Astyanax mexicanus: one gene and its partner. The protein of the gene in region 1 purifies or fractionates together with the protein of each later gene. This does not show direct contact. Links are inferred from orthologs where the notes say so. Each region holds a gene or a part of one and is shown on either strand. Other genes may lie near its edges.

The links. The genes of interacting proteins can lie anywhere in the genome.
Region 2: the proteins of rad18 (region 1) and slf1 purify together in Homo sapiens (affinity purification with mass spectrometry; 4 studies listed by BioGRID and IntAct, with this or other methods). This does not show direct contact. The link is inferred for Astyanax mexicanus from reciprocal best matches to the Homo sapiens genes RAD18 and SLF1.

The regions. Positions count from the first base shown.
Region 1 is NC_064412.1:15,609,147-15,616,329, forward strand, and holds the start of rad18 (E3 ubiquitin-protein ligase RAD18), read right to left. Parts: upstream 3,034-7,183; 5' UTR 2,904-3,033; coding exon 2,853-2,903; intron 623-2,852; coding exon 544-622; intron 301-543; coding exon 239-300; intron 1-238. UniProt on the Homo sapiens protein: E3 ubiquitin-protein ligase involved in postreplication repair of UV-damaged DNA. Postreplication repair functions in gap-filling of a daughter strand on replication of damaged DNA.
Region 2 is NC_064429.1:25,828,596-25,836,627, reverse strand, and holds the start of slf1 (SMC5-SMC6 complex localization factor protein 1), read left to right. Parts: upstream 1-4,962; 5' UTR 4,963-5,026; exon of another isoform or gene 5,027-5,290; intron 5,291-5,367; exon of another isoform or gene 5,368-5,782; intron 5,783-6,879; 5' UTR 6,880-6,880; coding exon 6,881-6,991; intron 6,992-7,316; exon of another isoform or gene 7,317-7,391; intron 7,392-8,032. UniProt on the Homo sapiens protein: Plays a role in the DNA damage response (DDR) pathway by regulating postreplication repair of UV-damaged DNA and genomic stability maintenance.

The sequences.
Region 1 (7,183 bases):
AAAGCTAAATGTGGTACTTAGAAGAATCTACATTTTAAAACATATTCTGGTGTGTTTAACACTTTCTGTATACAAAAAAAAATCCCATGTGTGTTCCTGTAGAGCTTTAGTGCACACTTAAAAAAAAAAATCTTACAGTTCAATATTGCCATTATATTTAAAGTTAGTGATGAGTGTATTACCAAACAACACGTGCATTAGCCAATGATGTAAAACGCACAATAAACGTTAGACTTACTGTGTTGCAGACTGGACACAATAATTTGTAAGATAAAAACTTCCGTATACACAGCGAACAAACTGCAAAGAGACCCAACACAAACATCCATTATTTACTCATGTGTTTTGATGTTAATTAGCTACATATTTTGTGACAATAAGATAATATGAGGCGAATGAATGCAAAAGCACACATGACAGTGACAATGCTGAAGAGCTTATTAGGTACCGTAATAAAAAGTTTTTTTTTTTTTCCAAACATAGTTAACTGTTACTTCTCTTAATACAACATACATATTACCAAAAACAACAAAAAATACTTACAGTTATGTGAACACTGCGACATCATGGATATGTTCAAGAAGTCAAAGCAAATGGGACATCGAAGAAGGGTGTCTATAGGCTGTCAAAGCAAATAATGAAAACGAGTTAACGCTAGGTAGCTTACATATAATCACTGTAAGTCATTGAGCTAGGTAAATATAATTTATTTATAAAGCACTTTTATAAGACAGAGCCACATAGTGCCTTACAATAAAGCAATTTAAACCAAAAATAAAAAATTAAAATCTAATGAAATACAACACGTCCAAACAAAATAGTAAAGGTTGTGTTTAAAATCTCGTTATGTCCTATTTGTAGCGAGCTTGGAGTGGAGCGAGTCTGGGATGCCAAAACTCAATGCTGATAAAGAGAGGTGCCTACTTGATGACCCCTATAAAGGGCTTGTGGCATAGTGGATGATGAGTGTTTTTGTGATTTGTGATGGGATGGTTAGGTATTTCATGTTTGTGTCATATGTTGCTGATCAAATAATCAGCCACAGCAACCTAGCTGTTCGGTGTCTGGACTTCAGGTTTGGATTAAATGTTGCTGATCTGATTGTAAACGGCAACAGCAAACTAACGGTTAGGTGTCCGGTCTTCAGGTTTGGGTTAAATGTTGCTGATCTGATCATAAACGGCCACAGCAATCTAGCTGTTCGGTGTCTGATCTTCAGGTTTGGATTAAATGTTGCTGATCGGATCATAAACAGCCACAGTAACCTAAGTTAGCAGTTCGGTGTCTGATCTTCAGGTTTGGATTAAATGTTGCTGATCGAATCATAAACAGCCACAGTAACCTAGCTGTTACGTGTCAGATCTTCGTATTTGAGTAAAACGTTGCCAATCAAAGCCTAAACAGCCACATCAAGCTAGTTGTTCGGTGTCTTGTCTTCAGGTTTGGTTTAAATGTTGCTGATTGGATCATAAACTCAAAAATGACCACAGCAAACTAGCTGTTTGGTGTCTGTTCTTCAGGTTTGGGTTAAATGTTGCTGATCTAAACATAAATAGCCTCAGCAACCTGTTAGGGGTCTGGCCTTCAGGGTTGGAATAATTGTTGCTGATTGGTAGGGGTGTGCCATATCGTAGCGTGCGTGATAATTGCGCCAAAAATTTTGAATACCGTGAACGATATTATCCCCTGAAATATCGCGCCATATCACCCACCCCTAATTATCACATCAGAGAACTACTTTTTTTGTAGTTTTTAGCAAACGAAAAATTCACACTGTTCTCATTTCCCATTATATATCTACTAGAGACAGATTATATCTTTTCAGTATCATTTATCTTACTTTAATCCTGGATATATGGAGATATTAGGAGTGCATCACTAGTATCATGACATTCTGCATCATTGACTTCTGTTACAAATCTGATAAAATTCTTTTTTCTTTTTCTCAGTTAGCCATATCATATTGCATGCAAAAATAAAATTCTAAATAATTTTTCTAATTCAGTGTTTTGTCATATCGCCAAATGTATCGATATTGTGAAAATACCATGAAATATTGTGATATTATTTTAGAGCCATATCGCCCACCCCTACTGATTGGATCATAAACACATAAATGACCACATCAACCTTGTTGTTAAGTGAAGGAGGTTACCGTACTAGTGTCGTAGGTAATAGTGGGTTAGTGAAAAAAGTAGAGTATAGGGGAGAGTGTATGTATGCGTGTGTGTAACCCCATATGTAAATTGCAGGATTTATCATTTTTCTGCATTATGCTAATAGAGGAAATACAACACATCCAAACAGAATACTAAAGCCACCTTATTCGTGATCACACTCAAAAGCCAAATAATAAGAGTAGATTTTTAAACGTTTTTTGATTTAGTGAGTCTTTAGCGAGACGCAGTGTCAGTAAGCCTACGTAATTAGCTAACCTAGCTAACTAACTAATTAGCAGCTAAGTTAATGCCAAATGTCTCTTCAGAGCATCAGGCAAGTGACAGGTAACGCTAACCTTACGATAAACAAACGATACACACAGGAGCTAACAAAGGGCAGCGTAAGATCCGACCCAACTAACCTAGCTAGCTAACCAGATAAACCCCCAGCTTACTAGCTAGCTAACTAGTCTTCAATACTGGCAAAAGTATAAATCCCACTGGCCACTGGTCTTTATAGTTAATTCAGCTATGGTCACACAGATCACACAGCCTGAATTCAGCACTATATGTAGCTAAACTTACTGACAATCCCACTGTCAGTTTAACTTAGCTAACGTTAGCCAGCTAACCTAATGCGGGCTTCACAGCCAAAATAAGTGACTTATCAAAGCGTTTATTAGCAGAACTTACTTTCAGGCACGCCAGGTTCGGCGGTAAATCCGCCTCATTTGAGTTAGACATGATTAACCGAGCGAAAATGAATCAGTCGGTTTTTCTGAGCTCTTTCCTGAAGGTAAACACAGTCCTGCTGCTAACAGCTGAGCTGCACGGCCAGAGAAAAAACCCGCGCGCACTTTTACCGGCACATCCTACTCCGACGTCACTTCCATTCATGCTTTGAGGCAGAAGATTCAAACTCGGCTCTCGCATTGATTCAGTTCAGCGAACCGATTCATTTAACCATACGTCGGGTTCAACTTTGATTCATTAGAGTCGGTTCGGGCAGTGAGTCTGATATGGGCCAATTCTGCTGCACTGGCTCTAGTGTAAAGGAATTTTAGCTAGACAATAAATGCATAAAGCATACATATATAAACATATACAGCCTAGCAGTGATTGATTTGTACTTTGAAGCTTTTCAATTTGATTTGAATCCCACCACTTTTTTTTTTCTTTTTTTTTGTATTATTTTAGTAGGATTTAAAAAGACTACAGAAACGTGACAATCATTATATAAAATAATATTCTTTGCGTAATAAATTCTTACAGTTAAAAATAGCTTAAAATCGGACAAAACAAATAGAACTGTTGTGTTGAAGGTTCATAAATGGGCTTTAAAAATGTATTTCGTAGTTTTGTATGTTTAATGCAACAATGCAACCGCACTTACTTTTGTATTTGTCCCTCTGCAGCACTCGTAGCTCCAGTGGTGTATAGGTGCGTAAAATGCGGGAGGTAAGCAGAGCAGTGAAGCTTCCTGAATAAGCAGCGTTGTAAAAGGATTAATGTACTTTTTTGACAAGCTAATTGAAATAATTGTTTTCATATCAGTTTTAGTCACCCCTCTGTGTATTTTTAGCGGATATTGGTGCGTATAGAATTATTTCTGGCCCGGTTCGGTTTCCAGCGTTGGGCTGCAGCAGTTTTGGCGCCAATTGTAATCTTCAGGTTGTAGTGTGAGCCTGAAAATGTATCAATAATGTCCCATGTTTTCTTGTGTTTTTTACTCTTAGAGAAGCATATGCAGTTTCCTAAGCATAATAATCACCAAAGGGATTGTCTGTGTGTATGTGCAGGTATGTTGTAGTTGTGCTTATAATCTGTTTTACATCATTTTTAATCAGGAAATATATATCTTAGCTATTGTAAGTGTAAGAATTTATTTTATAAATTAACTAAAATAAAAAAGCAGCAACTAATTCAAATAATTAGTCTGTTTTTTTTTAGTTGCTACAGGACTGACAGCTGTTCTAACCAATCAAAGCTTTTTAAAATGGCTTAGCGAACTATCATGGAATTGCGGCTGCAAAGAGACAGATATTGTGTCACATCATATTAAAAAGCCTTGGTTGCCCTTCAATGTGAAACTAATTCACAATAATAGGCCAGACTGGTGAGTTTTTGTGTGTACCTAATGTTTTGGCTGCCCTGGCGTACTGTAGACATACAAATGAGTGATCTTTGTTGAACGGTTGTACTTGTAGGCAAATTAAGCATTTATTGTTGGGTCTGTTGTACACTTTTGTCAATTCTAGCTGTATTTGTGGGCTGATGATATGTATTAAGTTAATATAGCTAAGCCAAGAGAGAGAATATGAAGTTATTGTAATATTTATCTATGTGTCGGTCGGCCGGCGGCGGGGTGGAGGGTATGGGGAGTGGTTGCAGAAGGGGTACCCACTATATTCACTGCACGCCACTGATGTATGTATGTATGTATAAAATAATAACTTACTTATCAAGGTGTCTGAAATGAAAATAATTACTCTAGTAAAGTGTAGATAACCAAATTTCCAATGCAAGTTAGGTAACAAAGTATTTAATACTATTTGTTAATAAATGTTATTTTTTTTTATGCAGAAATTTGAGTGTATCCTCTCAGCTGTTCTAAAAACTACTAAAATACTGTCATTTGCACCACTAGCATGGAAAACCAAACATTCACTATACTGGTAAAAATGTGATATTTGTTAATGAGTTTATTTGTCCCCTTCACACCAACACAAGTTGGTTTGATTGTCCAAAGAAAGTTTGACATTGAGGTTGTGTGCCTTCAGGTCTGAACTGCAGCATTATTAAAGCATAATGGCACTGTTTTATAACTTATTCTAGCATTAATATGATGATATAATAATTATTTGGGTGGCCTATAAACCTCTACTTGACTCATTACATCAGAGACTGGACCTTGGCTGCTGTATACTTGTACTTCTGCTTGAATTGAACTGATTCAGAGGGATTTCTTAAGATTGCCTAGATATCTGTCTGTACAAACAGACCTTGCAGGCAAACTTTTAATAATAGCTATTCTTTAAAAGCACTGTAACACTCTCTATGCTGGTAAATATTAGTATACATTGTACACTGTGCAACACACAGGACACATCGCTTGAATAGTGATTCCAATTAAATGGGCTGGACTTTAAATTGTTTGGAGAAAAAAGGGGGTTTTAGACAGACTTTGAGTGGAAGAAATCAACCGAGGCATTGAAGAGAAATGATCCGTTAAACAATAGATACTGATTTTGCATGTAACGCATGGATAAAAGAGAGGAGGGTGAGCCAACCAAGATAATAACAGACCAGGAACTCGTGCAAAGACTTGTCAACACACTCAAAGAGAAGCAGAGCTTTTAGATACAGTTTAAATAAACAGGAAGTGTAATACAGAAAGAAGGCAATTTTATTGTCATGATCATCGATTTGTTTTGTTCTGAACAAGTGGAGACATCCAGTTTCTTGGTAGTCCTATTTTCCCAAGCAAAAGAGTATCTGTATTGTACTGAAAGGGTCTTTTTTTTCAGTTGTGACACTAGTGGAGCTGTTTTGGTGTTTAAAGGTGCCCTAGAATGGAAGACTGTGTACAGTATGCTATGCTATGCTAGGTAATGCAATGTTACATGGTTGCTGTAATCTATTGGAGTAATGTTAAACAGGCAATAAGAATAATCAAAAACTAGTTTTGTGTTTATATACCCATAGACCACTGAAGTTGTATCATTATTTTGTAGCCAGTGCCATGCTGCTAATGCCCATATTTGGCACTGCCTCAGATGTCCAGCCTCAGATTTCGATGGCCTATTATTATTTTTTTATATGAATTTTATATGAACATCACAGAATCCTTTTAATTCCAAAATTATTTAAGATTATTTAAGATGCTACTGTGAATTTACACTAATGAACCAGTGATCTCAAATGACTCTTAAATGTTCAGATTCAGAATGTGATTTTTTTAAACCCCCCTTCATTCCACCATTAACAATAGGAAACAATACACAAAGCAAATCACTGTTTCATTCTAAGACACAATAATGGGGTTGTAAAAAGGTTTGTAAAATCATATCTGAGCATCGCTTACCTTTACTAAATCAAATAAAAAAAAATCTTAAGTGTATTCTGTGGTCTATTTAATAGAAAGTGTATAGGATATTATTTATAATTAATCTACTAAAGGTTTTCATCATATTTATGAAGAACCATTTAACCAGCTAAAGAACCATTTTAGCTTCTATATTGAACCATTGCCTCACCTGAAATAAAGTGTACTTTAAAAGTGAACTTTTAAGTGTTTATGTACCATATTTGCTGCATGGACCCCAGCAAGCAGTGGCTCAATTTTTGTTTTGCTCTTTTACTTGCGGGATGAATGGGACAGTTGCTGTATTCATTATGAATGTGGAAATAGAATTTTCCATTCACAACTCTATAAGTCTCTCATAATGATCTTTTTTTTCAGTAGTCCTGCATTGATATGGTTATTTAAGCAGTTAAAAAGACTGTCTCTGCTATTGGAAGGATTATGTGGGCTAAACAGCTTCGGTGATTAAAACACAGCTCAGTGAATACGATTCAGTCTCACATTCCCCAATTCCCACACCGCCAACAAGGCAGAACGCGCGGCGTTCTTTCTTAAACATCCGTGAAATTGATTTAAAAATCCCTGCCTGCCTTTGAACGAACATACTCTGCTCCGTGCATGTGCTGATCTAAGAAACAAATATATATTTATATATCTGTGCTTCTGTGCACATTTACAGGAGGTGAGATTCGGGCTAAATATCACATAAAGAAATCAGTTCTGTTCATTTTGTTTTCCCGGTGAGACTGCAGTCAGCTGACAGCTGTGCATTTGAATGAGTGGACCTGACTACAGATCACTCTGTGTACATATAATCAGTCAGTGGAACAGACCTCCAGTCGAGTGTTTATTTTAATAGCCTTTAGCCACTGAACAAGGCAGGATGCATTTTAATACGGACAAGGTGATCAGTCAAAAACGGACCGCTGGATAACCTTCG
Region 2 (8,032 bases), on another chromosome or scaffold:
TCAATCTACTCCAGATCCACAGTCCTACAGCTGAATTTCACGTGTGACGCAGGCCCAGCTCGTGGAGAGCAGCGGAGTACAGAACTCCTCCAGACTGTAATAGATGTCTGCTTATGTACAGTACTCGTCTGAATGACATCCATTCCAGCAGAGCCTCCCTGTTGATGAAACACATCCTCGAGCGCAACGCAGCGGCTCATGAGATGTGATGATTTGATTTCTCCTCCAACAAGATCCTTATCAGGAGCAGTACATCAAGCCCACCTGAACCGAGCCGCTGGATATCATCTCCTATAAGACGCCTCGACCCTTCTGTTATCTATCAATCTCTCTCTCCCTCCCTCCCTCTCTCTCCCTGCCAAGAATGAATGCTTTCAATTTCCAGTGGAGCCCAGCAGTAATAAATGCATATCTAAAACACAGAGCTCCATTCACAGAGAATCAGCCGCCAACACGCTGCTCATCTGTACTTTATACAAACAATCTATTTACACCCCCCACCAGTACAAGACCCTGCATGTTCAACACCTGCACCCAACACACAGAGAGAGAGAAAGAGAGAAAGAGAGAGAGAGAGAGAGAGAGAGAGGAAGAAACATCAAACAGAGAAACTGTGAGAAGGGGGAAAGAGACAGACAAACAGGTAGAAAGAGATATAAAGTAAGAGAGAGAAACATGAGGTGAAAATGAGAGGATTAAAGATATAAATATATATTTTTAAAAATTACAGGAAAAAGAAGAGAGAAAGGAGGAAAAAATTAAAGAAGGAAAGAATTTGTAAAGAGTGTGTAAAAAAAGTGGGGGAAAACAACAGACTGCTGAGGAGGAAGAGAAGACAGAACTTTGGAAGGAAAGAAAGGGAGCTTACGAGACAGAGAAAAAGGATGCGAGAAAGAGAAAAAAAGACAGGGAGCTACATAAATGAAAATAAAGAGAGCTAGAGAATGAGTTAGAGACAGAGAAACAAGAGGACAAAGAGAAAAGAGGGAGAAATAAAATGAGGAGACAGAAAAATGGTAAATAAGAAAAAAGCATGAAGTAAATAGAGAATGTCAAGAAGGGTGAGAGAGAAACAGAACAGGAAAGGAGGGAGAAAGAAAGAAAGAAAGAAAGAAAGAAAGAAGAAAGACATAGAAGGGGAGAAAGCAGTAGAGATAGAAGGAGAAAGAAAAGGAGAGAGAAAAGTAAGAGAAAAGTATGCAGAATTGTGCATATAAGATAGAACATAGACAGAGAGACAGCTTAAAAAAGAAACAGTGAGAAAAAGAGAGACAGACAGCAGACAGACAGAGTGTGTGAGAGAGAGAGAGAGAGAGAGATAGAGAGAGACCGCGAGCGAGAGATATACAGTATATCTGAGGGTGTCATCATGAGTCAAATGGAGTATAATGGAGAGTGTCAGTGTCAATTTGGCTTTGCTGCCACTGTTTCTCCTTCATGTGGGCTGATTTTAATAATCCCTGTCAAACTCCAAACAGCCTACGCTACCTCCCTGACACACACACACACACACACACACACACACAGATCTCAACATTAATTTAACCCGCACAATGAGAGAGAAGGGCTGTCCGGCTGGACAAATATTATTTCCCTCAGCTGACAGATTCTGCAGTTAAGCTCACGCTTTTATTATTTTCTAAACTCTATATGAGCATCCCAGAGTCTGTACAGAGAGGGAGAGAGGGAGAGATAGAGAGAGAGAGAGAGAGAGAGAGAGAGAGAGAGAGAGAGAGAGAGAGAAACACTTTGGGAAGCTTTTTACGGGGCTAGGACTAGGAACTCTACAGTGTAATTACACTGGGACTGAGTGAGTCATTGTGAGTGTGTGTGTGAGTGTGTGTGTGTGAGAGTGTGTACGAGTGTGTGTGTGAGTGCAGCCTGTGTTACAAAGGGATGTGCATCGTTGCCGGTGTGTGATCCACATGAGAGTTGTGGGAAAAGTGTCAGGTTCAGCCTGTCACCACACAGGGCCTAATTAGGCAGATGCTCGCTCCATCTTCTTTGTCTTGTTAGCTATTTTCAACTCAGATGTTGTGGAGTCTCCCAGTACTTCTGAGAGGTGCCACAGGAGAGAGAGAAAGACTGAGCTGAAGTTCAGTGTGTGTGTGTGTGTGTGTGTGTGTGTGTGTGTGTGTGTGTGTGAGAGAGAGAGAGAGAGAGAGAGAGAGAGAGAGACATGGGCCAGATGTATTCTCCCAGCACTTAAACTGAAACAAGCATGCTTCTACCCATCCACACACACACACACACACATTAGCCCACTTAGCCTGGAGAAGGTGTGAAATATTTAGCAGGCAGTGCCTCCTCCGGCGTTTTTAAAAACGCCACCGAAATCCTCACTTAAAACTAAATGCCCTAACAGAGCAAGTGTTCACTTTTAAGGAAACATGCTAAATTAAACACGACCATCATCTCATACTTTCCACCACTTCAGGAGTTATGAACTAATACTGCCTTCAGATCCACCTCAGAAGCTCGTATTAACAACTTCAGACCTTGTAATTTATATTCACGTGGATCTTGTGGAAAACAACATGAACACCCTTCGAAAATACACCCTTTTTCAGGTTACTTTTGTACATTTACAATTATTTAAAACATGAGCATGTGAAAGTACATTGGAAAGAACATTAAAAAATATTATGATCCAGTAGATATATCATTAGTATGTAAATATCTAACTTTGTGTGGATTTCAGTAAACCAATAAAAAGTGGCTCCAGTTGCTGATTAATTAGTAGTTATTACAGGAATGCACCCACATCAAACAGCAGAGCATACCATATCTAACCAGCACAGTAGTTAACATCAGTCTGATATCAAAAATCAGCCATTAATAATCGGAAAACAGTATTAGGGCTAACATATAGGCCAACACCTACTACAGATTTCGGTCAATATCTAAAGACCGGTGTGAACTATAACTATACCCACATATTCTATCAAACCACAGAACCTACTAATCTAACCAGAACAGTTTCATCCATCTGTTACCAAACATTCAGCTCGATAACCATTAGAGTCGCCAGTTATCCATTAGACGCTATGGCTAATCCGCCATTTTGGGCTTCATAATAATAGTCTCGTAGCAAATTATATTAAACCATACTAAGAACATCCAATATTTTATTTTATTTGGCTTTACTATCTAACATTTAGATCAAAATATGTTAAAATATTCTATTAATATTTGCATAGTCTTGAATCTTTTGAAAATATCCTCTGACCTGTGTGTCTATGTATGGCCTGTATACATTGTTTGTCATTTTAGGCAATGGGTCTTAATTGGTCTAACGTTGTAAGAGATTCAAAGTACTTACAGCATATGTTACTGACTGATGTTCATTACACAGAGCTTTTAAGTCTGCCACTTGAAAAATTAAATTGAATTGTATGTATAGTTCTAAGTCAGGGGTGTCCAAACTACAGCCCGCGGGCCATTTGCGGCCTGTTTCCTTTTTTGGAGCGGCCCGCGAGGTATTTTAGAAATAGAATGAAAGTTGGCCCGCTGTTAAGCAGGTTTTTATAATGTGAGATTCAAAGTTTGAACGCTAGGTGTCAGAAACGGGCCAAAGAGTCTAAAAGCGGAGAGGGTGCGCATTTCTAGCGCAGAAAAACGGGCCAAAGAGTCTAAAAGCGGAGAGAGTGCGCATTTCTAGCGTAGAAAAACTGGGCAAAAGAATCTAAAAACGGAGAGGGTGCGCATTTCTAGCGCAGAAAAACGGGCCAAAGAGTCTAAAAGCGGAGAGAGTGCGCATTTCTAGCGCAGAAAAACGGGCCAAAGAGTCTAAAAGCGGAGAGGGTGTGCATTTCTAGCGCAGAAAAACGGGCCAAAGAGTCTAAAAGCGGAGAGGGTGTGCATTTCTAGCGCAGAAAAACGGGCCAAAGAGTCTAAAAGTTGCCGTAATTAAGGAGTTTAATATTAAGAGACATCATGAAATGAAACATCAATTTGAAAAATCTTAGTTTACACAACACTGTCAAAGATAAAGATAGTAAGTCAAGTAAAATGGTGTGTAAATGAAATAATCAGGAAAAAAGTATTATTTAAAGTGGTATTTTTTATTATTTGTTTAATTACAGAGTGTGGCCCATGACTTCAAATATATTTCTCCTTCTGGACCTCAACAAAAAAAGTTTGGACACTCCTGTTCTTTCTCCAAAGTACTTTGATGATGAATGTGATGTATGTGTGTGTGTGTATATATATATATATATATATATATATATATATATATATATATATATATATACATATATATATATATATATATATATATATAAAATTTTGCAATATTTGCACTGATCATGTAAGTTTTTACTAACAAAAGTAACAGCTGTGTTTTTTGCCTTTGTAATAATACAAAAGAGAATATCAACAAGTTAACTGAGATTAAAAAAAAAACCTCTATAAACATTTTATAATACATTAACAGACCCACATTACACAGTTTTATTACTGTAGCTAGTTACCTTATTGTGTAGAACATGCAGTCAGTGGCACTCCAAATCCATGGAACCAGGGAATATAATCATTATCCTCATTGTTCTTATTGTTTAATATCACTAATAGATGTGTTTATTCCTAATACGTCCAGGTTACTGAGTAAGTTAGTTAGTTAGCTAAGAAGCTCGTGATGATAGTCTCTGACTGTGTTTAAAACCTTAAAAATATAATGAAAAAATAATCTCTATATTCTCTTCCAGTCATTTAATCAAACAGTGATTAAACCTAAAGAAGGGACTGGAGTCACATAGAAAGAAAAAATGCTTAGTATCCAATGAGGGGGATTAATTAACTAGTTAACGTTAACTATCTAGCTGCCAGCTGACTCACACACACCTGTAGATAACTAGATAATTAGCTAAATGTGTGGTGTTTGATTAGCTAGCTAGCTATGAAGGGAATTAAGCAGTTAACGGTAGCATGGTGTTGTCTAGCTAGCATACAGAGCAAAAACGAGGAAAACAGGCTTTAATCTGGTGCATGCTGAGATAACAGAAGTTTTTACACGACAAAAAAGGTAAAATCCCTTCCTAAAACCCCGGTTCAGAGTATATTTCTGCAAAACCCAGCACCTTATCAACCAAAGCGTCTCTAACAACCAGCGCGTGCAGCTCCGCTTCCAAACATCCTGTACACGGAGCGGAGCAAACCATTCACACATGAAGGCGGGGGAGACTTTTCGTGTTCCTACACGTTATTATCTGCGTTTACGTTGATTATTTCAACTGTATGTTTTTTTTATTTGATCTTTAATTTAGTTTAAACCACTTAAATGTTCATTAACTCACGTTTTAGGGTAGTTATTCATATTTTCGCTTCTTAAAGCTCACCCCCGTATTTCGCAGCAGCGCACACGGTAATACAGCCCAAACCCACACGTCAGTTGACATGGACGCAAAACAAGCACACTCTGAATGTGTTTTATAACCATATTTTTAATCTGGTTAGTTGTCTTCATGTGATACGTTGTGGAATATTATATGTAACTAGTAAAGCGTGTTGGACGGCGCACTGGCTGAAGATGGGACGGCTTATGGAAGTTTAATAGCGCTAGTTTCCCGAGAAGCTCTGCTTTTTTGGCAGGAGTTTTGGCGCGGCTTCGAAAATGGCTAACGCTACCGCTAACGCTGGGTTCACTTAGCTAATAGTGACACTAGTCAGTTAAAGTCAGTTAAAGCTAAGTTAGTCAGTATGGTTAGCTTAGCTTAGCTTAGCTAGTGATTTCAGCAGCTCTTATATTATAACGGCTATCGTATTTGCACAATAATACAAGGTAAGACCGCTGCAGCTGAATATTTAAATAAAATAAGCTGAAAAAGACACACACGTTAGCTAACTACCTACCTACCTAACCTAGCCAACTAGTTTAACTGTCTATATGTATAACTAACCTATGTCTCTGTCTCTCCCTCTACTTTTCTGTCTCTGTCTCTCTCTCTGACTGTCTGTCTCTATCTATCTCTGTGTCTCCCACACATAAGATTCAAAGTAGCTTTATTGTTATATAATTACAGCAATAACAGCGATACAACAGATATATTTAATGTGTCTTGTAACTGTCATGCAAAATGTTGGCCCTATTTGGCCCTGATTTCCCTCAATTGGACCTGCTCTCTCTCACAATTGGCCCTGCTTTTTTCTCTCTCTCTCTCTCTCTCTTAATTGGCACTGCTTTCTCTCTCTCTCAACTGGCCCTGCTCGCTCTCTCTCAACTGGCCCTGCTCGCTCTCTCTCAACTGGCCCTGCTCGCTCTCTCTCAACTGGCCCTGCTCGCTCTCTCTCAACTGGCCCTGCTCGCGCTCTCTCAACTGGCCCTGCTCGCGCTCTCTCAACTGGCCCTGCTCGCGCTCTCTCAACTGGCCCTGCTCGCTCTCTCAATTGGTCCTACTTTCTCTCTTTCTTAATTGGTCCTACTTTCTCTCTTTCTTAATTGTCCATACTTTCTCTCTCAATTGTCCCTGTTTTCTCTTTCTTAATTGGTCCTGCTCTCTCTCTCTCTCTCTCTCTCTCTCTCTCTCTCTCATTTGGCCCTGCGTTCTCTGTCTCTCATTTGGCCCTGCTCGCTCTCTGTCTCTCATTTGGCCCTGCTTTCTCTCTCTCTCAATTGGCCCTTCTCTCTCTCTCTCTCTCTCTCTCTCTCTCTCTCTCTCATTTGGCCCTGCTTTCTCTCTCTCTCAATTGGCCCTTCTCTCTCTCTCTCTCTCTCTCTCTCTCTCTCAATTGGCCCTGCTTTCTCTCTCTCTCAATTGGCCCTTTCAGTTTGGGTAGAAAATGATGTAAATTAGGAATGCATTTTAAATGAGAAAAAAGATGATTGGCTGACGGCAGCAATGTGAATATTGCTGTCACCTACTCTGCCTGTCTCTCCAGCATGTTGGGGAATAAGTATGTGTTTCAAATGTCTGGAATCAAGAACCTCCAGAAGAAACGAGAGCTCCTTCAAGGAATCAAGTGTCTACATGGGAGTTATATAGGAGGTTCTGTGAGTATCCGTTTTACTAGAAATACACACTTCTGCTGCACATAGTCTGCATGGCCTAGCATGACCAGATGATTGACCAGCACCACTATTGTGCTGGTCATTAGCTATAGAATTTGATGTTCTAAAAGACAGTGGGAACCAGCATGTATTAGGTAGATCAGCCAGCACGAAACCAGCATTTGTTGTGTTTTTAGTACTCATAAGCTAATAAAACAGCAATTAACCAGCATTAGTCCAGGATAAACGAGCATTTGTTTTGTGTTGTACATGGGCACACAGGTAAACCAGCATAAACCATCAATTTTTGTGTTTTGAGTACCTGTAGGTGGTAAAACGGCAATGAACCAGCAGTAGTCCAGCATAAACCAGCATTTGCTGTGTTTTGTACCTGGGTACACAGGTAAAGAAGCACTAAAGCATAACTACACCAGCATAAACAAGCATTTGTTGTGTCTTAAGCACAGAGATGTTTGTTCAGCTGCAGTGAACCAGCATTAGTCCAGAATAAACAGTAATTCTTGTGGTTCAAAAATGTGTTTGATGGTAAATATGGGAATGTTGGTAGAGAAGCACTACACTATAACTAACCCAGTAAAAATTAGCATTTTTTTTGTATTTTTAGTACAATTGAACTAGTAAAACAGCACTTAACTAGCACTAGTCCCTCAAAAAACAGCATTCATTGTGTTTTGTATGTGTATGATGATGATAAAAATAGTCCAACATAAACTATTAATTGTTATGCTGCAGAACCATTTCAGCATAGACCAGCAATTGCTGTGTTCTAAGCACTTTTATAATGGGCACTAGCAATTTTAAGTGTCTGATGATGCATGTTTTAAACATGCATAAACATCCATACACTAGTTTTGGCCAGCATTTATGTTTATGTTCAGGCTAATCTACACTGTGTTGTTCAGCAGTTGAGACACCATTTGTAGTGTTGGTGAAAATGACCCCAGGCCTCATGTTTGAAAGCCATATGTTCTTTTGGCCTTTAGCTTACCCTTATTTTTCCACAATCTGGGTACGTCCTTCAAG